Linked DNA regions of Sus scrofa. The protein of the gene in region 1 interacts with the protein of each later gene in a pairwise test. Links are inferred from orthologs where the notes say so. Each region holds a gene or a part of one and is shown in the gene's direction. Other genes may lie near its edges.

Region 1 (6,468 bases):
CCCACTTCTTCTCTTCCTCCTTGGCTAACTTCAGGCTACAGGCTCCTTCCACCCAAATAATTCCATCTTGTTGAGTAGGCTCTTCCTGGCCCTCAGAGTTACATTGTCCTCTCTCTCCTTCTTTCCCTCTCCCTCTCCCTCCAACACGCCTGCTTGCTTCATTAGCATGTTACTGTCGACTCTCTCCCAAGTGCCTTGATCTTTGTAAAATGTCCTGTTGTTTCCACAACATAGGAGGAGCTGGGGGAAGGGGGTTGTTTGCCATCTTCAGGACCCGACTGGACAGATGGATCTGGCTCAAGCGACTCCTCTGGATGCACTTTGCTCTGTGGGATGAACGCAGAGTGTCTGAATTTTGCTGATAACTTTATAGAACTCATTGTAGCATGTTTGCTCCCTGGTAGACCCTGGGATGGAAGCATCTCAAGATACTACAGATATGGGTGCAGGCATGCACACATGTGATGGGATATGGCCAGTCTTACACAGGTGGGGTGGAAAATGGTCAGCAGGCTGGTACCTCATGGAGGTGGGACCGATGAGGACTCTTGTGATTATGCAGGGAGTTGGAGAAGGACTCTGTCAAGGGTTGACTGCTCTCCAGTCTCTTCCCTCACCTCACCCGCCCCCCCCAAAGATGGCCACAGTGTTGAATCCTGGGTAAAAGTGTTTAACTGTTGCTGTTCTTCAGGACCTCACACCCCTCCTGGGGCTGGAACCCTTCATTGAGGGTATGGCCAATTCTAGAGGCTGGGAGGATGGGCCAGGGGTGACCCATTGCTAAATTTCCTTTTTTCATGCCTAGCCAATTCCTGAGGTTTTAGTCCCAGCAGAAGGGAGTATCTTTACCTGGGTCAACCCTGGTCATTTCAAGAGAATGGATGTCTCATGTGTGGAAACCTCCTCTATTCCCTGGAAGTGTGCCCCTAGGATACTTCCCCCACCCTTTCTCAAGTCCTTTTCCCAGTTGGATTTGTTATTCTGTTTTTTCCTGTCCTGTCTTATACTGCTACTGTGTCTCCCAGGGGACAGATGGCCTTCTTTGTCATCTTCACTCCACCCCCAGAGAGGAGTCAGACCCATAACTCAATCACCCAGCCCCCTCCAAAGATAGCTGAGTTGATGTGTGATATTCTCAGAATGTAGCAGACCCTGATGAGTTGAGAGATTGTCCTCCCTTCCCCCCAGTTCCTTTGGGGCTAAGGCGGCCATTCTTTTTGCATCCTGCATTCGCCCTGAGGCGTCTGCATTTCTCTGAGACATAAAGATGGGCACCAGCAAGTGGCCTTGGGGATGCAAAGACTCTTTGTTCTATCTGGCTGGACTGATCTGTCTCACAAGAAGTCATGAGGTCATAAAGGAGAATTTCTCCTGCCCCTCCATCCTCTCCAAAGGAAGTACAAGAGGAGTCCCCAGTTAAGGATTGGAGCCCCTATAATATCTTCCTGTCAGGAGCCTGATGGATCTTTTTCATTTCAACCATCTACCCTTCCCCTGTTGAATGCAATAAAACTCCATGACACCAGCAACTGTTGTTCTTTAGAAATGGGTTTCCTGACCATGTGGCTGATGTGTCATAAGCATTATGGTCTTTTTCATTTGTTGCTTCTGTTTTTCATCTCTTTTTGTTTTATTAATTAATAAAAAAAAGATCTTATGTATTTACTCCCATTGCTGTCACTATATAGAAAATAAATTATTGAATCCAAATTCCTTCACAGAAATGTCTCTTCCCCCCCACCCTTTCCCTTTTTTGGAAGCCTGTACTTAGGGTGCAGGGACCAGATGAAGAATACTGGTCTCCAAGGCATTGGGCCCCTAAGAATGTAGGTTTCAAGATAGGTGCTGTGAACTTGAAAGGTGGAAGGGGATGTGCGTGGGACTGGAAAACATTCCCCAGTTTTGTAGGAGTTTAGCTATAGGTGTGCCCAGGACAGCTGAGATGATGTGACCCTCCCTCCCCAGGGTGAGATCACACTCCCATCTCTCTAAAGGTGAGTGAGCCTATCAGCACCACTGACACACACATGAGCTAAAAGAGAAGGAATTTGGTGTTCCCTCAGGCTTCCTGGGAAAGATGTTCTCCATCTGGAGGGCAGGAAGAGTACAGTAGGGTCCTGGGAAAGTAAAGAAGAAAGCGACCAACCTTCCAGCCTGGACGGGGAGTAAAGAAAAGAGAGTGGATGAAGAGGTCATTGACAGTCTGGGAGATCCATCCAGTACTGCTTGGCCCAGGAGGTCTTTGGCTGGTGGAAAAACCTGGCTTGATGTGGCCCCAGGGAATTGCGTTGGACTGGGGGCGGAGATTGCTCTGATGTGGGAAGCAGAAGAGAGGAGGTTTTTTTTTTCCTTGAGAGCTTTTAACTCTATTTCACCCGTAGACTTGACACCACCATCACTCTAAGGTATTCTGTAAAAAACATTCGCTTCTCATTCTGCACGGGTTTCAGTACGCGTGATAGCGGAAAGAGAAAAATCAGGGGCACTCACAGATACCCACCTGGGGGCAAGTTTTGCGGAGTCACAGAAGGTAACAATCTAGAAAAAGGTGAGAGATGAGGGAGGGGATTGAAACGATTTAGTCACGGGTTTATTTTTTAGAACCAGTGCTTTTTATTATGACTCCTCTCTTCCATATTCCTCAAAGGCCCCCTAGAAGAAAAGATCACAGAAAAATTGCTCCCCTTCCCCATCTACCTAAAGAGACGCTCCTCAACCACCCACCCCCCACCAGCTCCCAGGAGCTGCCACGCAGCTGGCTGGGAAAGAATAGGGAGGGGGCCCCTCCCGGGAGCGGGGAGCGAGAAGGGTGGCGTCTCTAAGGGATTTAACCTCCTACCCTCGGTTCCGCGACACCACCCTCTCCCTCCAAAGACTTGTACGGAGCCTCCATTTTTGTTTTGGCGCGGAAGGGCAGCGGCTTGTGGATAGATGGGGTCAAAGGAAACGTGATTGTCACCTGTGAAGGGGAAGGGGGTGCCATCCTCTCTCCTTCCCTTTCCTCAGTCTGCACCCCTGCAAACTCCCCCCCCCACCTTCTCAGGGTCTCCCCCCCCTTGTTGCTAAGGCCCAGACCGTCATCCCAGCAACAGCCTCAGTCATGTGACCGGCAATGGCGGCGCTGACGAGAGGTAGGTGAGCCCGGCGGCCCCCACACCCACCGCGCGCCCCCCGGACCCTACTCGCACCCCCCGCGCGCCCTCCCGATCCCCCTGCGCCCCCTCCTCCGCCTCCTTCCCCCGCGCGCGGCGCCGGGGGGCCCCCTCCCTCTAGGCCCGGCCGATCTTCTTTCTGTCATCCTCCAGCCTTGGCCTCCATTTGGGGGTTCAGGGGCCCACGGTCGGGCAGACATGCACCCACCCCCAGTGGTGGGGCTTCGGGGGCTCTTAAGAGAGGGGGATTGGGGGAGCTGGTTCCGGGTTGGGTCTTGCAGAGGTTGTGGGGGGAGGGGTGGAGATGCCTCAGTTGATGCCCCCAAGGGACCCTGGCCCTTCCTGGCTGCCCCTGTCGCTGCTCTCTGTCTCAGGGGAGGGACTGGCCCCGTGTCCGGCCTGGGTTGCCCCAGAGGAATCAGAGACCCAGCCTAAACTGAGGCCCCGCCTCCCTTTTCTGTGCCAGCAGGACTCCTAGCAAAGGACACCTAGGTCCCGGCTTCCCTCTGATGGGGAGGGGGTGTTCCACCTGGAGAGACAGTATGAACCGAGGCTCTGGGGTTCCAGTTGCACTTTCTGAATCTTGAGGTGCATCTGGCCTTCAGGGGACTATGATAAAGGCACAAACAGAGAGCTGCTCCCCTTTGGATCAGTCAGAGAATTGAGGTCACACTAACAGCTCTTCTTTCTACTTGGGCTGCATCTGGAGGTGTTGTAGGGACAGCTCTGTAGCTGAACGCGGCCAGACTCAGGGGAAACATCAGGCTCCTCCAGCCCGTGCCCTGCATGAGCCCCACCCCTTCCTGAATGCAGCCTAGGTTGCCGCAGGTTTGGACTTCGGGTGCTGGGTTTAAACGGCGACAGTGAGAACTTTGTAATTGCAGGGCCTGCTGCCACTGTGTTCAAATTCCAAACAGACTTCAGCAGAAGGGATGGGGTAGGCTCTCAAGGAAGGCTCCCTGGCAATAGGGACTGAATTATTTGGGCATGTGGAGCAGGGTGTGGAGCTGGGGAGAAAAGGAAATACCCTTGTAAATGGGGTCTGAGGGAGATGGCAAAAAAAGGCCTGTGTGTGGACTTTTCCCTTCCTGACTTCTCTTATCTGTGCCCCTAGGCTTTCTTAAGAGACCCACAGCTGGGGAAGAAAAGAGGAAAGTTAGCACGTGGAAGTTCCTTCTTTAGCGACTTGGGGAGAGGCTGGGGATAGAATTCTGCAGGGGCAGAGGAGAGGAAATGAAAGAAGAGTTTTGGTTTTGTTTCTGGGCAGACTGGGGAAAAGCTAACATTTGTCATCCTAACCCTTTACCTCACCCCACCCCCTCCCAGTCCCGATCAGCTGACTGTGGAAACGGATTTCTGCTGCTATCATCGTCCATGGGCTTTCCAGGTATCTGACTTCCATGAGAACCTCAGCTTTCAGCTTTAAATTGGTTTCCTCCATGCCGTGTTCCAAGAAATCCTGTTCCCAGTAACGTACACCTAGGTCCTGTCTCTGTTACGTGGGCTGCTGGGTTGGGGCACGTGGGAATGGAGGCAGGGGTGTCTCACTTTCCCTCCTTTCCCTTTCCACCTACCAGGTCACACAACCTACAAGTAGGGAGCAGGGACAGAGAGCGAGCGAGCCTGCATGCCAATTCTAAGCTCTTCAGGATCAAAGTGAGCAAAAAGGAGGGTCAAAAAGTCTCCCTTCCTTTTACGGAACCCAGTTTTCACCTGGAGGCGGGAGGGGCGGGTTGTTTCTGAGATCTGGGGAGGAGGGGAGGAGAACCAAGACTGATGCTTGGCATAGATGGTAATAGTAAAATTATAGATGCTTTCTTGCTCTTCAGTGGGTGCTGGAGTTTAAAAGATAAGAGGAAACAGAAAATGAACTTGGGGGAGGAGGGGAGTTGGACTCTGAGACAGCGGAGGGGTGGAAAGGAACGTGAAGTAGGAGTAGGAAATAGGCCCCGATATTTATCAAATGGGAACCCCCCACCCTGAGTCCCTTTCACCCTGGGGGCAGTGTCGTTCGTCCTGTCCAGAATGGCAGCCTGTGGAGGCACCTGCAAGAACAAAGTGACTGTCTCCAAGCCTGTGTGGGACTTCCTGAGCAAGGAGACCCCAGCCCGGCTGGCCCGGCTTCGGGAGGAGCACCGTGTGTCCATTCTCATAGACGGCGAGACCTCTGACATCTATGTGCTCCAGCTTTCCCCTCAGGGCCCTCCCCCAGCCCCTCCCAATGGGCTCTACCTGGCCCGCAAGGCTCTCAAGGGGCTGCTGAAGGAGGCAGAGAAAGAGCTGAAGAAAGCTCAGAGGCAGGGGGAGCTTATGGGCTGCCTGGCTTTGGGGGGTGGAGGGGAGCACCCTGAGCTGCACCGCCCAGGCCCACCCCCTCTCCGGGCAGCCCCACTCCTGCCCCCGGGGGCCCGGGGGCTCCCCCCGCCTCCTCCTCCCCTGCCCCCTCCTCTTCCTCCTCGCCTTCGGGAGGAGCCGGAAGAGCAGGAGAGCACCTGCCCCATCTGTTTGGGGGAGATCCAGAATGCCAAGACATTGGAGAAGTGCCGGCACTCATTCTGCGAGGGCTGCATCACCCGGGCCCTGCAGGTGAAAAAGGCCTGCCCCATGTGTGGCCGCTTCTATGGGCAGCTGGTGGGCAACCAGCCCCAGAATGGGCGGATGCTGGTCTCTAAGGACGCCACACTCCTGCTACCCAGCTATGAGAAGTACGGCACCATCGTCATCCAGTACGTCTTCCCGCCCGGTGTCCAGGGGGTAAGAAGACTGTGGCCTGCCCTTGCCCTTTGGTTTTCCCCCACGCTTGTTTTCTTCCTGAGGAAAACTAGATAAGGGTGACTGTGTTTGTTAGATGTGATACAGTCTGGCTCTCTCCCACTGTGCCTGCCCACTCAGTTTCCAGAGCTGGAGGTGCCCCCTTGAGGCCTAGCTTTTTCCATCCCCATGACCCCAAGGCACCTGTGAAAGTCAGGTATGAGAGAAAGGAATCAAATTCTGTGTCCTTGATGAACTTGGACGTTGGCAGTTGTCGGCAGAGGTATAGCCTGTGGAGATGGTGGCTCAGGTGCAGACAGGCACAGCGGGAAGGGTCTGACTCGCCCTAGCAGTGCTGGAGGGTTACTCCATTCCAGATTTATGAGAAGGAAAACTTTGATCAGTGGAAGGTTAAAACAGGAGTGGTCAAGAGCCTACAGGTGTCTTTCTGCTTGACAAAGAGTAATGTCCTGTTCTGGTTTGCAGAGGGATGAGGAAGCTCTGAAGGAGAATAATAGAAAAGTAGAACAGGTTAGGCAGTGGAAGATGCATTGGGAGTGTTTTC
Region 2 (4,726 bases), on another chromosome or scaffold:
ATCCTAGCCGTGTCTGCGGCCTACACCACAGTTCACGGCAATGCCGGATCCTTAACCCACTGAGTAAGGCCAGGGATCAAACCTGCAACCTCACGGTTACTAATCAGATTTGTTAACTACTGAGCCATGACATGAACTCCTGTTCTTTTTTTTTTTTTTTTGTCTAGCTTTCTTCACGTAGCATAAGGTCTTCAGAATTTATTTGTGCTGCAGCATTTATCAGAATGTCCTTGCTTTTTTTTTTTTTTTTTTTTTTTTTTTTAAGGGTTGCACCCATGGCATATGGAGATTCCCAGGCAAGGGGCTGAATTGGAGCTATAGGTGCCAGCCTACTCCACAGCAATGCCAGATCCAAGCTGCGTCTGTGACTTACACACCAGCTCATGGCAATGCTGGATCCTTAACCCACTGGGCAAGGTCAGGGATCGAACCCGCAACCTCATGGTTCCTAGTTGGATTTGTTAACCACTGCGCCACGACGGGAACTCCTGTCCTACCTTTTTAAGGTGGAGTAATACTCCATTGCATGGATATGCCACATGCGATTAATATATTCATCTGTTGATGGATGTTTGGGTTGTTTCAGTCTTATGCTGCTGTGACCCACCCAGCTATGAACCTGGGTGTACAAATACCCGTTCGAGTCTCTGCTTTGAGTTTTTCTGAATAGATACTACGAAGTAGAAGTGCTTGATCATATGGTAATTCTGTTTAATTTTTTGAGGAACCGCCATATCGTTTTCCACAGTGGCTGCAGAATTTCTTTCCTAAGCCCCTGACTTCTTTTGATTTCCTTATTTTCTCCTTTTCCAAGCACCCAGCAATGACATTCTCCTGTACTTGCTAAGAGCTCCCTAAGAGAAAGTGTCTATCCGTGTTCCCATTGTAGCTCAGTGGGTTAAGAGCTTGACTAGTACCCTTGGGGACGCAGGTTCGATCCCTGGCCTCCCTCAGTGGGTTAAGTATCCAGGTTTGCCACGAGCTGCACATAGGGCTTGGATCTGGCATTGCTCTGGCTGTGGTGCAGGCCAGCAGCTGCAGCTCTGATTGGACCCCTGGCCCAGGAACTTCCATATGCCACGGGTGCAGGCATTAAAAAAAGGAAAAATGTCCATCCTTCTCTTCCATAATTCTCAGATGTTAAAGCTGAGTTGACTGTTTGCAGCAACATGAATGGACTTAAAGGCATTATGCTAAGTGAAATAAGTCAGACAGAGAAAGATAAATATTGTGTGATCTTACTTATATGAGAAACCTAAAAACAAAACTCATAGGAAAAGAGATCAGACCTGTGGTTGCCAGAGGTGGAGGGTGGGGGAAGGGAAAATTGGATGAAGGCAGACAAAAGGTACAAACTTGCAGTTGTAGATAATGACTTGGGATGTATTGTATAACATGACTACAGCTAACACCACAGTGTGATAGGCAGGAAAATTGTTGAGAATAAATCCTAAGTGCTCTCATCACAAGGAGAAAAAATTTTTTCTTTTTTCTTTTTCTTTTTTTTTTTATTATTATCTATATGAGAAGGAGGATGTCAGCTGAACCTACTGTGGTCGTCATTTCACAGTATATTTAGTTCTCATTGTGGTGCAGCGGAAACAAATCTGACTAGTATCCATGAGGATGCAGGTTCGATCCCTGGCCTTGCTCAGTGAGTCTGGGATCCGGTGTTGCCATGAGCTGTGTTGTAGGTTGCAGACGCAGCCTGGATCTTGCATTTCTGTGGCTGTGGCATAGGCCAGCAGCTGTAGCTCCAATTCAGCCCCTAGCCTGGGAACCTCCATATGCTGTGAGTGTGGCCCTAAGAAGCACAATGTATTTAAATCAAACCATCATGCTGTACACCTTATTATTATTGTTATTTTGGCTTTTTAGGGCCACACCTGAGGCATATGGAAGTTCCCAGGCTAGGGGTCGAATTGGAGCTACTGCTGCCAACTTACAACACAGCCACAGCAACACAGGATCTGTGCCGAGTCTGAGACCTACACCACAGCTCACAGCAATGTTGGATCCTTTAACCACTGGATCAAACCTGCATCCTCGTGGATACCAGTCAGCTTCATTTCCACTGAGCCACAACGGGAACTTAAACTTAGTGATATATGGCAGTTATATTTCAATAAATCTGGAAAAGTGTAGATATAAATTTATAAGTGATATATATATAAATGATATATAATAAAAATTAGTATAATTATCAATATAATAAAAAGAAGCTGAGATGGTCTTTAGGGCTCATCTAACCAAACTTGACTATTTTTTTTTTTTTTTTTTTTTTTTTTTTTTTTTTTTTTTTTGTTGTTGTTTTTTTGCTCATATGAGTTCAGTAGGTCAATCGAGCTGTAACGCTACGCAGACACAGCAACGCGGATCGACCGCGTCTGAACTACCATAGCACGGCACGCAGATCGTTAACCATGCCAACAAAAGATCGGAAAAACTGGACGGGACCTATCAGAGGACTGATGAGAGGCAGCTGGTTGTTGGTTGCACCGCAAAAGCCTGGGTCTAGCTCTTGGGACTGCCAGGCCCCGTGTCCTTTTGGGACTCCACTCTTTCATGAATCCACAGCTCAGTTGCCAGGTGAATACAGGTGCCATGGGTGTCCCTGTTTATGGGTCTTCCTCGGAGTGGAGCAGAGGATGCCTGGGACCCTAGGGTGGGGGGCAGGGAGAGGGGGAACCCAGACCAAGGGCCTAGGAGGAAAATGAGCTTTTCAGAGTGGCCCTTCTCTTGCCCAGGAGAAACCGCCCTACAACCTCAGGGCCTTCAACCTTCGCATCAGCTTCCCGGAGGAGTACCCATTCAAGCCCCCGACGGTGACGTTTACAACTAGGATCTACCACCCCAACGTGGACAGCGAAGGCCAGGTGTGTCTGCCCATCATCAGCAACGAGAACTGGAAGCCCTGCACCAAGACCTGCCAAGGTGGGCTGGGCCCTGCCAGAGGAAGGGACCCATGCTGGATGGGGTCAGAGGACCGCTTTTGAGTTAGAATAGCCCAGAAGGGAGGAGATAAAAATTGTGAGTCTAGGCGTTCCCATCGTGGCTCAGTGGTTAACGAACCCAACTAGTATCCAGGAGGACTCAGGTTTGATCTCTGGCCTTGCTCAGTGGGTTAAGGATCCGGTGTGGCTGTGGCTGTGGCGTAGACTGGCAGCTGTAGCTCTGATCAGATCCCTAGCCTGGGAACCTCTATATGTTGTAGGCACGGCTGTAAAAAGACAAAAAAAAAAAAAAAAAATTTGTGCATCTCAGCTGAGCCTGTTGTCAGAAAGCAGGGATGCATTCTGAGATCCTGAGCTGGCTGACCTGCTCCTGACTCTGTTCTCATACCTGGGCAGGTGCGCAGAGCAGTGTTGCTGAGGGAAGGAGCTGGGCTGTAGCAGGTAGGGCTTGGGATAAGTAAGGCCACCCAGGGACCTTGGTGTAGTCTCTGTTATTTCCAGGGTTCAGTGCCCTACATGACAGCTGAGGGGATTGGCCTAATAATGCTAATACACATGACTTAATTAAACATTTTTGGCACTGTGCTGAGAGCTTTGCATGCTTTTTTTTTTTTTTTTTTTTTTGCTGCATTTGCAGCATATGGAAGTTCCTAGGCCAAGGACTAAACCCGAGCCACGGCAGCAGCCAAAACTGCTGCAGTGAAAACACCAGATTCTTAACCTACTGAACCAGAAGAGAACCCCACAAATGTCATTTTTTAAAAATTCACTTTCAGTGGCGTTCACTGGTGGCTCCGTGGGTTAAGGATCTGGCATTGTCACTGCTGTGGCTCCGGTTGCTGCTGTGGGGCAGGTTCAGTCCCGGGCCTAGGAACTTCCCCGTACCTGGGGCATGGCCAAAAAAAAATTCACTTTTTTAAAGATTGAAATATAATGTATTTACAGTGGTGTGTTAGTTTTATAGTAGTTTGTATCTGCTAATCCCATCTCCTGATTTATCCCTCTCTTCCCCTTTCCCCTTTAGTAACCACAAGTTTGTTTTCTATGTCCGTGAATCTGTTTCTGTTTTGTGAACAAGTTCATTTGTATCATATTTTAGATTCCACATACAAGGGATATCATATTTGTCTTTGTCTGACTTAACTCACTTAGTATGACCATCTCTAGGTCCAGCCATTTTGCTGCAAATGACATTATTTTGTTCTTTTTTACGGCTGAGTAATATTCTGTTGTGTGTATGTATGTGTGTATACACACACCACATCTTTATCCTTTGATCTGTCGATGGACATTTAGGTTGCTTCCACATCTTACCTATTGTAAAAAGTGCTGCTATGGGAGCTCCCTTCATGGCTCAGTGGTTAAAGAACTCGACTAGGATCCATGAGGTTGCGGGTTCGATCCCTGGCCTTGCTCAGTGGGTTAAGGATCCCATGTTGCCATGAGCTGTGGTGTAGCTCGCAGACATGGCTCAGATGCTGTGTTGCTATGGCTGTGGCGTAGGCTGGCAGCTGTAGCTCCCGTTCAACCCATAGCCGGGAACTTCCATATGCCATAGGTATGGCCCTCAAAAGACAAAACAAAAACCAAAAAGGAAAACAAAAACGGGAGAGCAGAGTAGTTCTTGTTGAAAGGGATAGAACTCAGAAACTCCATTTTTCTCCCCGTGATGAGAAGCTTCTGTGACACGATGAATCAGAGTTAGAAAACTGCTGATGTAACCAGGAAGGGCTTTGGGCATCATCAGCGAAGATGGTGAGGGGCCTTGGATG
Region 3 (5,797 bases), on another chromosome or scaffold:
TTTAAATTCCTTTTGTAAAACTGATTCCTAATTTTATAATTCTATGAAATTGAATTTATCTAATTTTGTTTGGGGCTTATTTGCATTTTCCATGTTATTTTATAAACTAAGTGAAGATTTGAGGTCTAAATTATATCACAGTGTCACTTAGCCTTTTCTTTTATAATTTGGTTGTTTCAGTTCATCTCCATTCGTACCCCTTAAAGGACCATCAGGACTTTAGTTTTGTAATTAAGGAGGTTAAATACTAGCCCCAGCCATTTTTTCTATATTGATTACTGCTGCCAAAAATTATTCTTTTCTCACAGCAGGCTTGTGTCTATACTGATCTTTAAAAATTTATATTCATAAACAGATTTGTTTGGGTAAGTCACACCACCATGTGTCCTATTTTTGTTTTGTTTTGAACTACAACGTCAGCATAATTGTTGGAAAATTCTCCTTCAGTCCTGCAAAGAAAAACCTGTTTTCAAGTTTAAATGATTTGAACTTATGACAAAGTGGCTTTTTTTTTTTTTTTTTTTGTCTTTTCTCTATTTCTTTGGGCCGCTTCCACAGCATATGGAGGTTCCCAGGCTAAGGATCTAATTGGAGCTGTAGCTGCCAGCCTATGCCAGAGCCACAGCAACGCGGGATCTGAGCCGCATCTGCAACCTACACCACAGCTCAGGGCAACACCGGATCGTTGACCCACTGAGCAAGAGCAGGGACTGAACCCGCAACCTCATGGTTCCTAGTCGGATTCATTAACCACTGCGCCATGACGGGAACTCCTGGCATTTTTTTTTTTTAATGATATATTTTGGGGAAATCATTTTAGGTTACTACTAATAAATATAGTAATCAAACACTGATGCAATTATTTTGTAATTTCAGCCTGATAGCGCATATCAAGGTGGAGTCTTCTTTCTCACTGTACATTTCCCGACAGACTATCCTTTTAAACCACCAAAGGTATCTTTATTTTTATGGTTCATGTGACAACTCTGTCAGGGGTTTTACTCTATCCAATATTTTCATGATGTCAAAAGACCATGGGTAGGCTGGCATGTTCAATCTTTTCTATAAAACCACTGAATCTAAATTATGCTTTCTTACTCAAATATTGTATTATGTCTGTACACAGGAGGCAGTGTCTCTTAGGCAGTAAATTAGCTTCCCTACCTGTCTTTCTCTCCTCATTAGATATATGTAGTACAGGGGGGTTTTATGGTTAAGAATTAGACTTTCCATTCAAGGGGTTATCTATCCTAGGTTGGCCCTTCCTTCTCAGTTTTTAAGCACTCAGTAAACATTTGCTGAACACCTACCATGTTCTGTTGCATTGGGGAATATAAAAACTAAATGTGACACAGTCCCTTTAGTGTGGTAGGTGGGATTAAAAGCACGTTCTTATTAAAGTTAGATCAAAAGAGGAAACAAATGATGGGAGTATATCAGTGCGGGAGGAAATCATTAACAAATTCTGTCACTCAAGAAATAATTATTTTAGATTTTTAAAAACCCCTGAATAGGGAGTTCCTCTCTGGCTCCTCAGGTTGAGGACCTCCTGTTTTTGCTGCTGCAGCTCAGGTTGCTACTGTAGTGTGGGTTTGATCCGTGAATCAGGAGCTTCTGTGTGCTGTAGGCATGACCAAAGAAAACATTGTATATGAAGTGATATAACAGCTCTTGTGGAAGATTAGAATTCTTGGTGAATTTCTTAGGACAGGTTATAAGCCGAGGCCCCTCAACTTTCTTCTGGAATAGGGTCAGCATCCTATTTTTAGATCCAGGTGTCCCTTTGTTAATCAAATTAAGAAAAGTCTTGCTTTGAGGGATGGTTAATTACCTCAGGTGCTGCCGAACCAGTCATACTAACCATTGTAGACTTATTTATCACACTTTCCAAAATAATTCTTAATTCCTTGGGGTGGGGAGAGCAGGAGACTGATTATTTGCTTTCACATTATCAATAGCTAAAGCTTTGCGAGTATAAAGTAGATGCTCATCCAGTTTGTGTTGAATGCATTTCTCCAGTAAGATCACATAAAATTGAGGACATTTTACCCTGGGGCAAATTAATTGTTTGGTTTCATAGTTCATGGGTTGTCACAGTTTTGTTTTGTTATGTTTTATGCCTAGATTGCTTTCACAACAAAAATTTACCATCCAAACATAAACAGTAATGGAAGTATTTGTCTCGATATCCTGAGGTCACAGTGGTCACCGGCTCTGACTGTATCAAAAGGTAATTTCCTTTATCAGATTTATAGTTGTTGGTAACAGTGAGACAGGAAAAATACAGCAGAGGTATCTCAGAGACAAAAGTTTAAAAAAACCAATTTACTGTGTTTTCTTCTGCTTTGATACTGCTTTGTTTTCCTATCTTTTATATTACTCTTGCTTGAGGAGTTGATGGGCAAATCTAAATGATGAAATGTCAGAAATTTAAATGTTAGAGCTAGGAATTTGGGGATAAGCCAGTTGACCTTTTACTCCTTTAGTTTGGGCTTTATCTTTAAAAAGAGAGAGACAGAGACACGCAAACACACACATAGCAATACAAATGAGATTTGGGGGGAGTTCCCATCATGGCGCAGCAGAAACAAGTCCAACTAGTTTTCGCGTTCGATCCCTGGCTTCACGAAGTGGGTTAAGGATCCGGAGTTGCTGTGAGCTGTGGTGTAGGTCACAGACGTGGCTCGGATCTGGCCTTGTGGTGGCTGCGGCATAGGCTGACAGCAACAGCTCTGATTGGACCCCTAGCCTGGGAACCTCCATGTGCCATGGGTACGGCCCTAAAAAGACAAAAATAATAATAATAATAAGATTTTGGGACCAGTTGTCCTACCCATTAGATGGAATTATTTATTGACGTAATGAGTAAAGCTTTACATCTAATTCACTTCATCTAAGAAGAAATGTCAGACTAGGCAGATAAAATAAATGCTTTTAAAAGAGAGACATATTTACCACTTTAGAATAATGTAGCACATGTGGCATGTTAGTCTAAACTTCAAATAATCTATAGCATCCTTGTAAGGACTGATACATAATCCATGGAGATTCTCAACTTTCGCAAATGTATATAGCACTGTTCTTTAATAAATTATGAGATGTATGTATAGGGCATCTGAAGCTGTTTTGTTTCATTAGCCAATGCTGTTTGCTTTGCCAGCCTCTTAATTTTGTCATGGTTCTCCAACAGAAGAGAACTTGAATTACTATTTTGAGTTAGAAGCATCTGCCCCTAAAAGCAGGAGTTCCCGTCATGGCGCAGTGGTTAACGAATCCGACTAGGAACCATGAGGTTGCGGGTTCGGTCCCTGCCCTTGCTCAGTGGGTTAATGATCCGGCATTGCCGTGAGCTGTGGTGTAGATTGCAGATGCAGTTCGGATCCTGTGTTGCTGTGGCTCTGGCGTAGGCCAGTGGCTACAGCTCCGATTCGACCCCTAGCCTGGGAACCTCCATATGCCGCGGGAGCGGCCCAAGAAATAGCAACAACAACAACAACAAAAGGACAAAAAAAAAAAAAAAAAAGACCAAAAAAAATAAAAATAAAAAAAAAATAAATAAAAGCAACTTGGTAGTTTGCTTTTTATAAAATTTAAGAAAACTGTTTCTCTTGAAGGATTCAGGAGAGGAATCCATGGTCATTTAATTTTTTTTTTTTCTGCTTTTTAGGGCTGCACCTGAGGCATATGAAGGTTCTCAGACTAGGGATCTAATCGGAGCTATAGCTGCCAGCCACAGCCACAGCCACAGCAATGCCTGATCCAAGCCACGTCTGCAACCTACACCACAGCTCACGGCAACACCAGATCCTTAACCCACTGAGCAAGGCCAGGGATCAAACCTGTTTTCCCTTGTATCCCAGTCAGATTTGTTAACTGCTGAACCACGACGGGAATGCCTAGAAAATTTTTTTAATAAATGTTGTCTGAATATGTAATGAGGTCTTTTGTGATTTTTCTTGGTGTGCCCACAGCATGTGGAAGTTCCCAGGCCAGGGATTGAACCCACACCACAACAGTGACAACACCAGATCCTTAACCCTCTGAGCCACCAGGGAACTCCTATAACTTGTTTTTTAAATGCTAAAGGAGTTCCCTGGGGCTCAGTGGGTTAAGGAGCCAGTATTGTCACTGCTGTGGCGCACGTTCAGTCCCTGGCCTGGGAGCTTCCTCATGCCTTAGGTACACCCAAAAAAAAAAAAAATTCATGTGGATTCTAGTGTCCTTTTAAAAATCTTTCACATTGGAGTTCCCGTTGTGGCTCAGTGGTTAACGAATCCAACTAGGAACCATGAGGTTGTGGATTCAATCCCTGCCCTTGCTCAGTGGGTTAAGGATCCGGTGTTGCCTTGAGCTGTGGTGTAGGTTGCGGATGCAGCTCGGATCCCGCGTTGCTGTGGCTCTGGCGTAGGCCGGTGGCTACAGCTCTGATTAGACCCCTAGCCTGGGAACCTCCATGTGTTGCGGGAAGCAGCCCTAGAAAAGGCAAAAAGACAAAAAAAAATTAAAAATTAAAATAAAATTAAAATCTTTCACATAATAGGCGTTCCCGTCATGGAGCAGCAGAAATGGATTTGACTAGGAACCATGAGGTTGCTGGTTCGATCCCTGGCCTCGCTCAGTTGGTTAAGTATCCAGCGTTGCCCTGAGCTTTGGTGTAGGTCCAAAGACTTGGCTCGGGTCCCATGCTGCTGTGGCTGTGGTGTAGGCCAGCAGCTGTAGCTCTGAGATCCCTGGGCTGGGAACCTCCATATGCCTCAGGTGCAGCCCTGAAAAGCAAAAAAAAAAAAAAAAAAAGAGTAAAAATCTTTCACGTAATAAAACTGTTACACACTAGATAAAGGAAAGATACTGTGTCATAGGGTTATTCAAATTAATATACTCTTTCCTGCAGTAGTGTCACAAAATGGAATTTATTTGGCGTATGCAGCTAAACACTTACCTATAAAGAGCAAACTACTAGATGTTGAACACTTACCTTCTGACGTTGGTAGCTCTTGATAGAAAATAATTAGTTATTGTTGGCTTCTGGAAACTGTTCTTTAAGAACAACTTCAAAGAGCCTGAATTTCCTCATGTGTCAAATGGGAATTTTTTTTTTTTTTTTCCCTTTTTAGGGCTGCACCCGTGGCATATGGAGGTTCCCAGGCTAGGGGTCTAATCAGAGTTGTAGCCTCTGGCCTACGCCACAGCCACAGCAGTGCTGGATCCAAGCCACGTCTTCCACCTACACCACAGCTCAGGGCAACACCGGATCCTTAACCCACTGAGCGAGGCCAGGGATTGAACCAGCAACCTCATGGTTCCTAGCTGGACTCGTTTCTGCTGCGCCACGACAGGAACTCCTCAAATGGGAATTATAATACTAACACTACATATGGTCCCAGCAACTAGTGCATAGTAAGCACTCAAATGAATGTTAACTGTTGTTACCTTGGAGTTCCCATTGTGGCTGATCAGGTTACAAACCCGACTAGTATCCATGAGGATATGGGTTCAATCCCTGGCCCTGCTCTGTGGGTTGAGGATCTGACGTTGCTGTGGCTGTGGTGTAGCCCAGGAAGATGCAACTCTGATTGGACCCCTAGCTGAGAACTTCCATATGCTGCAGATGGGGCCCTAAAACTATCACCTTTTCCCTTATCTTAAAGCATTGGATTTGTGTGCATAATAATGAAATCAGGCACAGTACTCTTGGCAGTAGGAGTGGGAAGATGAGGAACTTCCCTTTTGCTTACTTTATAAGGTAGCTTATACTTTTCCTTATTTGTAAATTTTTCACTTTTTAGTATTTTAAATC
Region 4 (6,366 bases), on another chromosome or scaffold:
TAAGAATGACACTCTGAACTAAGACAGAAGCAATGGCGACAGAGAGAAGGGACCCTGAGGGGAATAAAAGAAAGAGAACCAAAGCGGCTCTGACTAGCATCCAGTGGGTTAAGGATCCGGTGTTGCTGTGAGCTGTGGTGTAGGTCGCAGATGCAGCAGCTCAAATCCCACATTGCTGTGGCTGTGGTGTAGGCTGGCAGCTACAGCTCCAATTCAACCCCTAGCCTGGGAACCTCCATATGACGAGGGTGCGGCCCTAAAAAGACAAAAAAAAAAAGTTTCAGGCCTCACAGTTGGTAATCAGAGAAATCAGAAGTTATCCCAGGAACTCTACAATCTGCACGTATAACAACCACTGTGCTTTAAGCTACACAAAAGCACCAGAGGAAAAGGAGATGGAGGGTGGGGGGAAGAAAAGCATTACCACAAAATCTGAAGGAGGAGAGGACTGCAAGGAGGAAATGGGTGCAGGTATGGAGTTTGTAAGAGGTCAAGTAATTGACTAGGACTAGAAAGGCCCATTGGACTGAACAGACGGCAGATGGTGCTGACTGGGTGAGGGAGGTTTCCTGATGTCTGGGGGGTAGGAGACTTCCCACAGGGAGGTGGGGAGACACAGGACGTACAACTCCTCCAAGAAAACTATCAAGAGGAGAAAGCAAAAACCTAAGTTCAAGATTTTCATTTGTTTAAAGGGAAGAACTGGGAGACTTATACATCAAAGGGAAAGTTGGTAGAAAAGGTAAGATTTTTGTTTTGTTTTTTTTTCTTTTTTTGTCTTTGTAGACACTTCAGTTCAATAGAAGTCTTAGCTCCTCCTCAAGGGATATACATAACAATCTGATGTAAATCTTTTTAAGTTCTGCTAGAACTAAGCCCCCCCCCCATGGAGGATGGTAACTATGTAACTACCAGCTGAGACCCTGGTCTGAAACTAAGGAATGATGTTGACCTTTGCTGACCCTCATTGACTTCAGTCAACTAAAGCTTGGATTCTGGCAACCTTTGCCTCAATTCTATTGTGAATTCTCTTTGGCTCAAGGCCCTTCATGAATATGCATGCACCCTTAGCTTTAAACTTCCCCAATTTTGCTGTTCCAGGATACACTGCTTGGGGAAAGACACCGCCGTGCACACGCGCGCGCGCGCACACACACACACACACACACACACCCTGCCCCGGTGTTCTTCTTACTTGCTACAAGTAATAAATTTTACCTTCTTCCAATCTTTGGCTTGGTTGTGTCTTTTGGCTTGAAGCCCACCAAGAGGTGAACCCAGTTTTCAGGTAACACTAAGGAACAATTAAAGAGTTGAAATCCAGAAGGGATTTGTCCTGGACAAGAAGCGGGACACTTCTTTCACTGCTCTTGGAGCAGAGGGAACACTGGATTTGGATATATTTGTAGGAAGAACTTTAAGTGTTTTCCTCCTGATTGCTTCTAGTTTCTCTGGGAAAGAGAAGACAAGAAGGGACTTCAGAGTGATGATGGGCAGAAATACCAGCCTTGCATAAGAACAAGAGAAGCAGCTAAGGGCACGAAAGGATTGATGGTCCAGGTGAAATTGAAAACCTGGACTTGCCCCGGCACCAATCTACATGGCTATGCGGTTTTCTTCACCACCGCAGTGTAAGTAGAGAAAGGTTATACACAAAGAAAAGGAGCGGCAAAAATTCAAATTTCCTTTCGGCTTTTTCTGAAAAGACAAAAGAGAATCCTTCCATTGACTCAGTGCCTCCGTTCACCCAGTCAAGGGGTCATCACTAATCACTGGTCTCCTGTTACTGAGTGGAGAGTCTTAAAGAGTAGAGAAAAAAGAGAAGAGGCAAAAAAACAGGTCCGCTCCTGGTCGGGTGGGAAGGAGAGGAACATTTAGCCTTCCCTAAATACTAAAAGCTGCTATATATGCCCTGGGACTCAACTTCTGACCCTTCCCCCCAAGACGCTTCCTCTTTCCCAGTACCTTACACCTCTCCCGTCGTGCCACATTCTTGCCGCATTGGGACCCTTCTCGTTGTGCTCCACCCCGCCTCCAAACTCACCTTTCCTTCACGTGGCTCTCTGTATATATCGGTCGCCTGGGAGACCCTGGCCGGGCGGAGTCTAATGACGCCACAATAGCAAAAAGCCAATAGCCGTGATGCGTCTCAGTGACGCGAAACGCGGGGTGTGACTTTGACGGCCCCGGCGCAATGAGGCAGCTGCCCGCTGGGTGGCGCCGATTTCCCGGGGAGGTCCTCTCTGGGCCCCCGGCGGAGGTGGGGGAGAGGCGGGCTGGAGCGGAGACCAGGGAGCCCTCTGCGTCAGCTGCTGCTCACTGCGCCGCTCCAGTACCAGTCAGGACTCACCCGCAGCTCCATGCTTGTGCCCGGCTCGACTCGTCCATCCTCGGAGAAGAGGCAGGTACCTGCCACCTGTCGGATACTGGGGAGGGGTGATGCGGAGGGCAGTGTTGTTTGAGGCTCAGAAAGTGAGGTGCCAACGACAGGCTGGGCAGAATGGGCACTAGAAATGTAGGGCGAGTTCCAGCTGCGCTGAAGATCTCCAGCTGTGGGTACCAGTTGTAGGGGGGAGGGGGGGCACCAGCTGACAGCCCAGGGTGCCAGGAAGAGCCATCTGTGCGCTAATCAGTGTGTTCTACGGAAACGCTGCTTGGGCAGGTCCAGGTCTCTGAGCCCTGGGTGGGATGTGGCTGAGAGTGACGCCTGGACACTGACAATCCTTTCCCCACGTGTGCGAGCAGCTCATTTACTCCCTCTGTCAAAGCTCCTGGGGGCTGTCTCTGGTCGGTTTGCCAAAGGGGGTGGGGTGGGGGGAGGGTAGCATTTAAGTGGAAGGGGAGATTTTCCACCAATCCCAAACCAGAAAGAGGCATCTTTGAAATCTTCACCAATCCCAAACCAGAAGCAGGCACGCGGTGCTCTAAGGCTAGTAACTTATATTTAACAGCCAAAGGGAGCCCTGGCCAATCCATTCTAGTTGTCCTCTAAGGAGTGAGCATCTACCTCCTGACCTGGCTGCTCTTCGAATGGGGCCGAGTTGGAGATCCTGCTGCTGCTCGCCTCCCCAGGCACAGGCATGAGAAGGTCCCCCAATGAGAACCCAAGGAAAAGGAGAGCTGGTTGAGCTGGGGTTGGATCAGCCACCCCTTCTCTGATGCTGTAGATAATGTCAAGCCGGGGTCGGAATGAGGACTGGAATGAGGGCCGGGGACAAGGGCGTCCTCTGAAGTGCATCATCAGGACCGGAGCTGAGTCAGTAGCCTCTGCTGAGACAGGGTGGAGGCCCCATCTTGGGTACTCCCAGTCCTCAGGGAGAGCCATCGAGAAACAGGCCAGACAGACTGGGAGCAGACCAGAGCACCAAGAGCCGAGAGGTTAAGAATCCTGCTCCTTCCTCCTGTGACCCTGCCCAGCCAGCCCCACTCCTTGGGCTCCGGGATCCTGAGCACTCCTACAGGTAGAGTGGAACTGCCCCAGAGCAGCTGGGCTTGCTCCCGGGAGCCCCGGGGAAGCTGCACTTGCTGTATTTTTCTAGGCAAAGGAGGAAGGAGCCCAAGAGGGCCCGGCCTTTTGCCGGTGGGTGGACTGGACATCTGGGAATGGGGCAAGCCTCGTTTGCCTTGCCACTTATGGGACACAGACCTGCTCAGAAAACCATGGCATTAGAACAGCACTCCCGCGGGGTAGCCTGGAGGCCCTTTTCTCCCTAGCCAGGTTCCCCCGAGGGTGCTACTACAAAAACTACCTCTAATTATAAGTGGAAGTATTCAATATAGTAATAATTACCATTTATTGAGCTCTTACTAGGTGCCAGGAAATTTACAAATATTATTTAATCCTCACACCTGTGAGGTATAACATTATTATTATTATTATTCCCATTTTACAGACTAAATAAGGTTCAGAGGGCTTAAGGGACTTGCCCACCGACTTAGAGCCAATAAAAGGGAAAGAAAGAATACAAGCCCAGGCTTAGAAGTCCATTATAAATGAGAATGGCCTGGGAACCTGAGGAGGTCTCACCTGCCTTTGTATCCGTGTGCCCTTGAGCACGCTGCTGTCTGCCTCTAGGGCTCTTCCATCTCAAGAGTAAAGCAGGCAGACAAGCACTGAGGCTTCTTCCTCTCCTCCAGTTTTGTGACTGGCACCTCCTTCTCCATATTTTTGCCTCCATTCCACCCCCATCCCTCTACCATCTTTCCAGTTCTATTTCCCCTTGAATCCCCCTTCTGTCCCATTTCAAAATCCCTCCCTTCAAACAGTCTTGTAGGATCTTGCCTGGCACGGGCCCACCTCAAGGGAGGGCCTGCCACTGCCCCTTTAATTCTGCCCAGGCTTGGAATGCCAGTGAGTGGAGCTAGCCATCTCCGTGAGGTCAGATAAGATACTATATATATCGGAGTCAGTAACCTGAGCTCCGGATTACCCGGCCCCAAGTCAGACTCCTGCCTCTGGGCTCGCCACTGCACTCCCTGCCCTGCTGGGGAAGGAGAAGCCCCCAGATCCCATCCCGTGTCCCTGGACACAGGTCAGTAGCTGTCCCTTTGCTATCCAAACTTCACAGGGCTGTTGTCCAGAGGGCCCTGGACTGTCTGTTTGGGGGAGCCCTGTCTGTTTGGGGGAGCATGTGAGAGGCTGCCCCACCTGGCCTGGTAGGTGCTATGAGCAAGACCAAAGGCTCAGAGACCAGGAAGAGGAGAGGAAGCCCTAGAGGAGAGAGGGAGCCTGGGGCTCTCCTGTGGGGTGGGGGCACCCAGAGGGAGGTGGTTGGAAAAGAAGACCTGAGGACTCCAGTATTGCCTGGGGGCCTATATCTTTGCCTTTTCTTGGAAGTGTAGCAATGCCCACCCCCTCCCAACCCCAAATCAAGAAGCGCCCTCTAGAGACGCCACCCTCAGCCCACCCAGCTCTTCTCCAGGCAGGATTCTGGCTCTAATCTCTGGTCTCTTTATCTAACCTCTTTGCCCCCTCCGATCCCTTGGGCAACTACTGGGATTGAGAGAGACTGAGAGGGGCCCCAATCCCCTTGGATGACCCCCTTCCAAGGCATCTGCAACTGGTGGGTCACTGGGTGCCAGCCCCTGAGAGATAGAACTGTGAGTGACAGGCCAGAGGGAAGGAGACAGGCTGGGACTCCTAGGGGCCTGAGGAGTAAACAGAACTCCTGGACGGTGAGAGCAAAATATCCACCACCCCAGCCCACCCCAGCCCTCACTCCGTGTATCCTCCACTTCTGCCAGGACAGCCCTCGTCCCAGGAGTTGCCACTTGTCGAGGCAGTGTCCCAGCAGCCAGGAGTGTGTGCGGCTTGGAAAGTGTCGAGGAAGGGAGACAGGGCCCCTCTCTCAGCCCACTTTACCCTTCAAGGTCAGCCATCAGCAGGGCCTCATTCCGATGTTATTAGCAAGCGGCTTTGGGAAGCTCTGAGGTCACCCCTGTGGAGGTTCCCAAGCACCTGTCGGGACTGGCTGGGATTCCCCACTCACCTGTCCCAGACATCTGGGCAGGAGGGAAGGGACTGACCCTGTTGAGGCATACCTCTGAAATCCGACTAGGGGCTTTCTAGTCAGGCAGTGGCAAAGCCACAGAAGCCGGCCTGCCTTCACCCCAGAAAGGAGAACGGATTGGGGCTCAGAGAGGGGCCTTGAAGGCTGCTGGGATGTGGGACATCACCCATTCTCTACCCTGGGGGCCAGGAGTGCCTGGGATTCCTGGGGAGCAAGTCCCTCTCCTGGCTGGGCAGGTTAGGGAGCCCTTCACGTGAGCAACAGGAAATGACAGTGGCTGATGTAAGGGTGCTGGTGGCCCCAGCAGGGATAGGGTTCATTTTAACCCCTGACTCACCTTGCCTGGGTACCTTTGGGAGAGGACCAAGTTGCCACAAATGTAGAAGGCCAAGGGGGAATGTCCATAACCAGGCCTTGGGCCGGGGCCCTACTGGGGCCAGATGCTGGTGCCAGGGGACACGCAGGAGCTTGGCACCACTGGGTGAAATGGAGGCCTCCTGGACCATCTCACAGCCGATCAGCATCGTAAAGGGGCTCAGGTTGCAAGTGGCTTCACTTTCATTGGCCTGCAGTGGAAACTTGAAGGGCAGCTCCTCCGGGAGTCTGTACCTGCCATGCTGTTGCCTAGACAGTGGGTGCCTAGATCCACCCCCACCCCTTGCTACAGCCCCACCCCCACCCCCCGAGCCAGCTCAGGGAGAGGCCAGGGAAGCGTGAAGTGGGGGCCTTGGCTTCAGTGCAGCTGTTAGCAGACAGAGCACGTGTAGGTCCCGATCCAGCTCAGCCACTCCCAGTGTGACCTTGAGAAAGTTACATCACTTCCCCGAACCCTAGTTTCCTCATCTGCAAATGAACA
Region 5 (6,480 bases), on another chromosome or scaffold:
GTTTCTGATGTATTTTTCCAATGATATTTTAAGGATTCACAAGCACATACGCAAGCATATTCCTTTCTTCCTTCACAAATATGTTGGTACGCTACACACAATATGGACTGAACAGTGATTTTTTAAAGTAAAGTTTTTCCTTTGGAATAATTTTGGATTTACAGAGAAGTTTCAGAGAATTTGAATATTCTTTATTCATTTCTAAGGTCAGCATCTTACCTAAACAGTACCCTGTCAAAACTAAGGAATTAACATTGCTACAATACTATAAACTAAATTACAGAATTTATTCAGATTTTAATAGTTATGTCCTTTTGGTTCTAGGGTCCAATCCAGGATATCACATTGCTTTTAGCACAATGCTCTTTTTCCCTTAAAATGTATTTTGAGGATTGTCTCCTATCAGTCAGTATGAGGTTGCCTCATAAAATGTAAAAATGCACTGAAAGTGGAATTTCAGGGCCAGTGACTACATGCATTTAAAAATCATCAGGAGTTCCCGTCGTGGCGCAGTGGTTAACGAATCCGACTAGGAACCATGAGGTTGCGGGTTCGGTCCCTGCCCTTGCTCAGTGGGTTAACAAGCCAGCGTTGCCGTGAGCTGTGGTGTAGGTCGCAGACGCAGCTCGGATCCCGTGTTGCTGTGGCTCTGGCGTGGGCCGGTGGCTACAGCTCCGATTCAACCCCTAGCCTGGGAACCTCCATATGCCCCGGAGTGGCTCAAAGAAATAGCAAAAAAGACCAAAATAAATAAATAAATAAATAAAAATTATCAAACATCTCTTCCCCAAAGAAGTTAGCATACCCATCTAACCAGTCCACTTGTGATTTGAGTGTTGTAAATTTCTTTAAAGTTCCAAGATTAACATTGGGGACTGAATGAAGGTGATAAGCATAAGGTATTCAAAAATTTTTCACACTTCAAAATAATTATTTTTAATGTGCCGGCATAAATACACATAGCATTGCACGATTTATGCATTCATTATACCAGTAATTCATTGTGCCACGACCCACATGTATAGTTGGTTCCTCTTAGAACCACTAGGGGGCTCTGCTGGAAGGGTTTTACAGCTTATGTTAGTCCCTTCAGGGAAATTTTCCCAGATGTTTTAGAATAATGAACTCTTAAAACTTGAGAGAGATCATCTTATCCAGCTTCCTTATTCTGCAAAATAGGAAACCAAGGTTGGCCAAGAGAGCTGAAATGGAGGAGAGCTGGAATTAAAAATCCCTTCTTGGTTCCCGTGGCAGTAGTTCAATAAGTTCATTTTTGCCAAGTGCCTCCGTGAGTGGTTCACTCCAAGTGCTTACTTTCTTTTTCAGTGCCACAATTTCAGTAATTTTTGCTGAGACGGTGATTTCGTGATATTCTTCTAATAGGATACTTTACTGATTGGTTAAAGTATCCTATTAGAAACATAGTGAAAGAAGTGACTTTAATATAACTTCTAAATAAACATAATTACTTATTACAAAATGTTTTCTATTCAAAGCACCTCTCAGCATCAAAACCATATTACCTAGGAGTTCCTTTGTGCTGCAGTGGGTTAAGGGTCTGGCCTTGTCACTGCAGCGGCTTGGGTCACAGTTATGTCGAGGGTTCGATCTCTGGTCCAGGAACTTACAAATGCCGCAGGCTCGGCCAAAAGAAAAAAACACTCAAAACCCCCCCAAATCCACAACCATATTACTTATTGGAAACTTTAGCAACCGCTTTCAAATTTACTTTCCATTTAAAACATTTTAGTCTTATCGTTACTCATTTATTCATTCAATATTTATTAAGGGCCTTAATAGGCACCAGGCACAGTTGTAGATCCTAGGTTTAAGTAAGTAAAGCTGCCCTTCTCGCCCAAGAAACATCTACTACTCCATTTTTCACTTTAATATATAAACTATTTTCACATGTTCAGTGGTTCCCACTGTGTGGCTCCAGAAGCAGCGGCAGGAGCAGCTGCATCTGGGAACTTGTTACAAATGCAAATTATTAGGCCCACCCTATACTCTAGGAATGGGGCCCAGCAATCCGTTTTCTTTTTATTTTTTAACAAGTTATTCAGGGATCCTAATGTACATTCGAGTTCCAAAACTATGGTTTTAGTTCCAGGGCTTGGTATTAATTACCTAAGCAGGTCAAAGATCAACACCTGGCTTCTAAATTCCATGGAGTACTGGTCTCAAATAAAATTGATGAGACCCATACTTAACTTTATAATTTGTTGTACCTGTTAAGATCCTGGAATGATCGTAGTAATAGCAGCACCGTAAGAGCTTCATAACAAAAATGAACCTCAGTGCATTTGCCGGGCCTACACCAAGAAAAAATAGGCCAGACTGAATTCCAGGACAGTGTTTTCAGACACTAAACACAGGCAGGCACACTAAGCCTGTGGGTTCTGGGTCTGGCTGAGTCAGGGCGGCGCTCCAAACCGAGTGGAGCCGCGTGAACCCGTCAGGCTGGACTCGAACCTTCGGTTACAGGCCACGGTCTGGAAGCCTGGACCATACACCTGGTTCGAAGAGGGGCAGAGACGCCTGAGAGGACCGAGGAGGCCGGGGCAGCGCTGACCAGCGCGGAAGCCGCACCCTCCAGGCCTCAGACGCCGGCAGGGCGGAGCCACGCGGCCGCAGCTCGGGCAGAGACGCGCGGCGCGGGGCGGCGCGGCGCGGGTTCGCAGCTGAGGCGTATGGGGCTACAACGGGAGCGGCTGCGCCGCCCGGTCAGGTCAGCGTCGTGCGCAGGCGCGGACCTGGCGCCATTTTGGTGGCCGGGCGCGGAGGTGATTCCACACTGAGGAGAGCGCGGCGGCCGGAGTGGCAGTGGCAGCGTTCGTGTGCTCTGGTGTGAATCGCCGAGGGAGGAGGCGGTGGAGGAAGAGGTGGCGGCGGTGGCGGTGGTCGTAGCGGTGGCGGAGGAGGCGGGTACGAATCAGCTGCGGGCGGAGACATGGCCAACATCGCGGTGCAGCGAATCAAGCGGGAGTTCAAGGAGGTGCTGAAGAGCGAGGAGGTCAGAAATGAACTCCCGAACGTCCCCCACCTCAGCCCATGGCGGGAGGGTCCTTCCACTGGCGTCCCCAATATCCCTAGTAACGCCCGAGTGGCCCTCTTTGCGGCCGCCCTTCTGCCTGTGGGGAAGCAGCAGTCTCCCCCTCCTTCCGCCGCCTTCCCCTCCCCTTCCAGGGCCCTGGGATGGACGGTCTCGCGGGCGGGTGATCTGGAGAGGAATCAGATTGGGGGGGGCAGATGGAGAAGGGGGCGCTTAGACGCGGGGTGTGAGCTCTTGAAAGAGCCCCTAGATAGTGGCAACAGCTGGAAGTGTGGTTGTAGGGTGGGGAGTGAGCAGGCCGAGCCTGAGAAAACCCGGGAAGTAGGTTGGGGGAAGGGGAAAGGTGGTAACTGGATCCCGAGAGCTGCGCTGCTCAAAGGCCCTCACTTTTAAGGGTATTCTGGGTTGTAGCCGATCTGGCCGCCGCTGTCCTTTCCTTAGGGAAGGAGCGATGAGAGTTCCTAGGTATTGATGAAAGAAGGCCGTTCAGAGTTACTCCCTTTTAGTTGGGTGTTGGAAGAGAGAGCAAGACATAATGGGGTACTGTCTATATTGTTTAAGTGGGGGATAAGGGCATTGCCACTTGAGATAGGAAATTAATTCCATGTTAGAGAATTATCTCATTTCCACTTACCCCCAAATCCTAGGCCTCTTTTTTGTAGGCACCTAAAGCTTTTTGACTAGGTAAAGGCAGGTTGTTTGGTGTGTTAAAGACATTTAAATATTTATAGCTGGGATTAGGACATATAATGGAGTGTATGAGTAGCTTATTTTAAAATGTTTACAAGTTACAGATCAGAGTCTGTTTTAAGACATTGCCTCTGTGACACTGCTGTGTTGTGCCATGAAACTTCATTATGATGTCCCTCATAGTTAACTTGATTCTTACTATTGAAAAACAGTGCTATTAAAAAAAACATGAGGTTTCAGCAGATTAATACATTGTTATATCTCCTTATTAAACATGACATTTCAGCAGATTAATAAATACATTGTTATATCTCCTTATCCCAACATCTATCTGAAAGGATTAAAAAGTTTTTTTGTCTCAAGCTCCTCTTGAGTCCTGTAGAACACTCTAGTGTTGGCCACATTTATTAATATGTTTTAAATGTTTTAGTAATTTAGTAATTTGACTCAATTATGAATCAGTGTAATTTTTCATACCCAAATCAACGAGAATGCTAGGTTGTTTTTCCTTGTTGGATTCAACAAAGAAAGATTGAGCATATTGAATGGTTATTTTCAAAATATCACACACCATTATTGAAAGTATCATTACTATATGTGTTTTTCTCTTATATCAATACTTTGACGAGCTCAGTGATTTGTGAAATTTAGCATTCTAAGTATGTGATGAATTCTGGATATAAGTCTGATAGCACTTGAACTATATTTGTGCCACCGAGTCTTTCCAATTAGACTTGCAGAAAATTCTTTAAAATTACTAAAAAATGCCAAACACCAGCAGATTTATTGAATGTAATAGTTATGTGAGTAATAATTGGTTTTACCGAGCATGTGTATGAACTCTGACCTCTGTATTTGTTCAGGTGCCAAAACTCTGAATGGAAGGATGACTTTGTATTTTTGTGGTACATTGTAGAAATAGAGTCATAAATGCTTGTACTGACAATACAATGAAACAATGATTCTAAATTCTTGTTTAATAAGAAAATATATTCCAGGATAGTTGACATATATATTCCTAATAGAAGATTGCGGGTAATATTGCTAGTAGCCTAAAACATTTCTCTAATATGGTTGTACAAGCCTGAAATATAAGATTTTAACGCTTTATTTTCTGTTACTTAAAAGTGGTAAGTACTGTTCTCGTAATTCATATGATCTGATTGCATATTGTGAGGTGACTTTTCACAATATTCTTAGTACTTAAATTGAAGCTTAAAAGAAATCTTGTATTGCTTTAGTAATGCATATTGTTAAAATTACATGTAAGGGATGATGAAATCTTGCTGTCAAGTAAGTGTTTCAGAGGAAGAAAGTAGAAAATACAAACATTTTATTTTTTTAACAAGAGTGCCTTTATAAATCTGAAAGGAAACATCTTCCAGAAAGTAAGTTGCAAAGAACATTTAGAAAAGGGTCAGGTAATTTAATTTTGGAATATAACCAATAAATAGTTTTATTTTCACCAATATTTTATTTCATTGATATTTTAATAAGCCCAGTTCTATAATTGGATTATATTATTTTCAACTCATTGAAGAACTTATAATACAGTCCATGTATTTCTTTTTTAATGTATGTAAAGGCAATATTTGAATGGCTTGTCAGATAGTCAAGTATTTCCTCATGTCACCTATGTAAATCTTCATTTTACTAAAGTTTATTTCATATGGTTGTGCTTACTAGGAATGGTTTAAGGACTCCTCTCCAACCCCGCGCCTTTTTAAGTGCCTTTGTGAAAAGATAACTGACATTTGCTGAATTCTGGCTCTAAGAAGTTGTAAGTGGCCATTCTTGGAGTGTGTTGTTAAAATATAGCCTCCCAGATCAGTGTGAAAAGCACAGTGCAGAATAGTGGGAGGAGGCCACCATTTCTGGGGAGATACGTGTATTTGTTTGTATAGGTGAAAGGATTAATGAGAAATTGGTAGTGTTGATTGCTTCTGGGTGGGGGACTTGGGTGTCCCGGGCAACTGGCATCAGAAGATCCCTCTTAGGAGTTCCTCTGTGGCTCAGCAGGTTAAGGATCCAGCATTGTCACTGCAGTGGCTGGATTGCTGCTGTGGCATGGGTTCAGTCCCTGGCCCAGGAACTTCTGCATGCCACAGGTGTGGCCAAAAAAAAAAAAAAAAAAGATCCTGGAGTTCCTTTTGTGGCTCATCAGAACCGAATCTGACGAGCATCCCTGAAGATGCAGGTTCGATCCTTGGCCTCGCTCAGTGGGTTAAGGATCTGGCATTGCCATCAGCTGTGGTGTAGGATCCCAGGCTCTGATCTGGTGTTGCTGTGGCTGTGATGTAGGCCGGTAACTGTAGCTCTCATTTGACCCCTAGCCTGGGAACTTCCATATGCTTCAGGTATGGGACTAAAACGACCGAAAAAACTGGAGCCTGATTTGTATTACTGATTAAAGGATTTAAACACAACCTAACTTGTTAGTTTAAGCATTAAAATAAATGTTACGTGTAATTAAAATTTTGCTTGCATTTCAATATGCAAAATACTTTTAAGAGTTCCTGTTGTGGCACAGTGGGTTAAAGGATCTAGCATTGCTGCAGCTGTGGCATAGGTTGCAGTTGCAGCTCCAATTCAGTTCCTGGCTTGGGAACTTCCTATGCCACGGGTGCGGCCATTAAAACAAACCCCCAAATATTTTTAAATTCAAAGCTCAGTGAAATAGGCGTTCCCTTCGTGGCTCAGCGGAAGCGAATCTGACTGACTAGTATCCGTAAGGATAC

What was found.
Region 2: the proteins of DTX3 (region 1) and UBE2L6 interact in binary tests that used the Homo sapiens proteins (3 or more experiments, as listed by UniProt). The link is inferred for Sus scrofa from reciprocal best matches to the Homo sapiens genes DTX3 and UBE2L6.
Region 3: the proteins of DTX3 (region 1) and UBE2D1 interact in binary tests that used the Homo sapiens proteins (3 or more experiments, as listed by UniProt). The link is inferred for Sus scrofa from reciprocal best matches to the Homo sapiens genes DTX3 and UBE2D1.
Region 4: the proteins of DTX3 (region 1) and USP2 interact in binary tests that used the Homo sapiens proteins (3 or more experiments, as listed by UniProt). The link is inferred for Sus scrofa from reciprocal best matches to the Homo sapiens genes DTX3 and USP2.
Region 5: the proteins of DTX3 (region 1) and UBE2K interact in binary tests that used the Homo sapiens proteins (3 or more experiments, as listed by UniProt). The link is inferred for Sus scrofa from reciprocal best matches to the Homo sapiens genes DTX3 and UBE2K.

What each region holds. Positions count from the first base shown.
Region 1 is NC_010447.5:22,865,323-22,871,790, forward strand, and holds the start of DTX3 (probable E3 ubiquitin-protein ligase DTX3), read left to right. Parts: upstream 1-2,368; 5' UTR 2,369-2,548; intron 2,549-2,982; exon of another isoform or gene 2,983-3,043; 5' UTR 3,044-4,635; intron 4,636-4,729; 5' UTR 4,730-4,779; coding exon 4,780-4,808; intron 4,809-5,157; coding exon of another isoform or gene 5,158-5,176; coding exon 5,177-5,906; intron 5,907-6,468. UniProt on the Homo sapiens protein: Regulator of Notch signaling, a signaling pathway involved in cell-cell communications that regulates a broad spectrum of cell-fate determinations.
Region 2 is NC_010444.4:13,363,395-13,368,120, forward strand, and holds part of UBE2L6 (ubiquitin/ISG15-conjugating enzyme E2 L6), read left to right. Parts: intron 1-2,747; coding exon 2,748-2,934; intron 2,935-4,726. UniProt on the Homo sapiens protein: Catalyzes the covalent attachment of ubiquitin or ISG15 to other proteins. Functions in the E6/E6-AP-induced ubiquitination of p53/TP53. Promotes ubiquitination and subsequent proteasomal degradation of FLT3.
Region 3 is NC_010456.5:92,301,197-92,306,993, reverse strand, and holds part of UBE2D1 (UB2D1), read left to right. Parts: intron 1-876; coding exon 877-954; intron 955-2,124; coding exon 2,125-2,230; intron 2,231-5,797.
Region 4 is NC_010451.4:46,586,260-46,592,625, reverse strand, and holds the start of USP2 (ubiquitin carboxyl-terminal hydrolase 2), read left to right. Parts: upstream 1-2,271; 5' UTR 2,272-2,401; exon of another isoform or gene 2,402-2,405; intron 2,406-4,412; exon of another isoform or gene 4,413-4,532; intron 4,533-6,366. UniProt on the Homo sapiens protein: Hydrolase that deubiquitinates polyubiquitinated target proteins such as MDM2, MDM4 and CCND1. Isoform 1 and isoform 4 possess both ubiquitin-specific peptidase and isopeptidase activities.
Region 5 is NC_010450.4:30,885,044-30,891,523, forward strand, and holds the start of UBE2K (ubiquitin-conjugating enzyme E2 K), read left to right. Parts: upstream 1-2,950; coding exon 2,951-3,013; intron 3,014-6,480. UniProt on the Homo sapiens protein: Accepts ubiquitin from the E1 complex and catalyzes its covalent attachment to other proteins. In vitro, in the presence or in the absence of BRCA1-BARD1 E3 ubiquitin-protein ligase complex, catalyzes the synthesis of 'Lys-48'-linked polyubiquitin chains.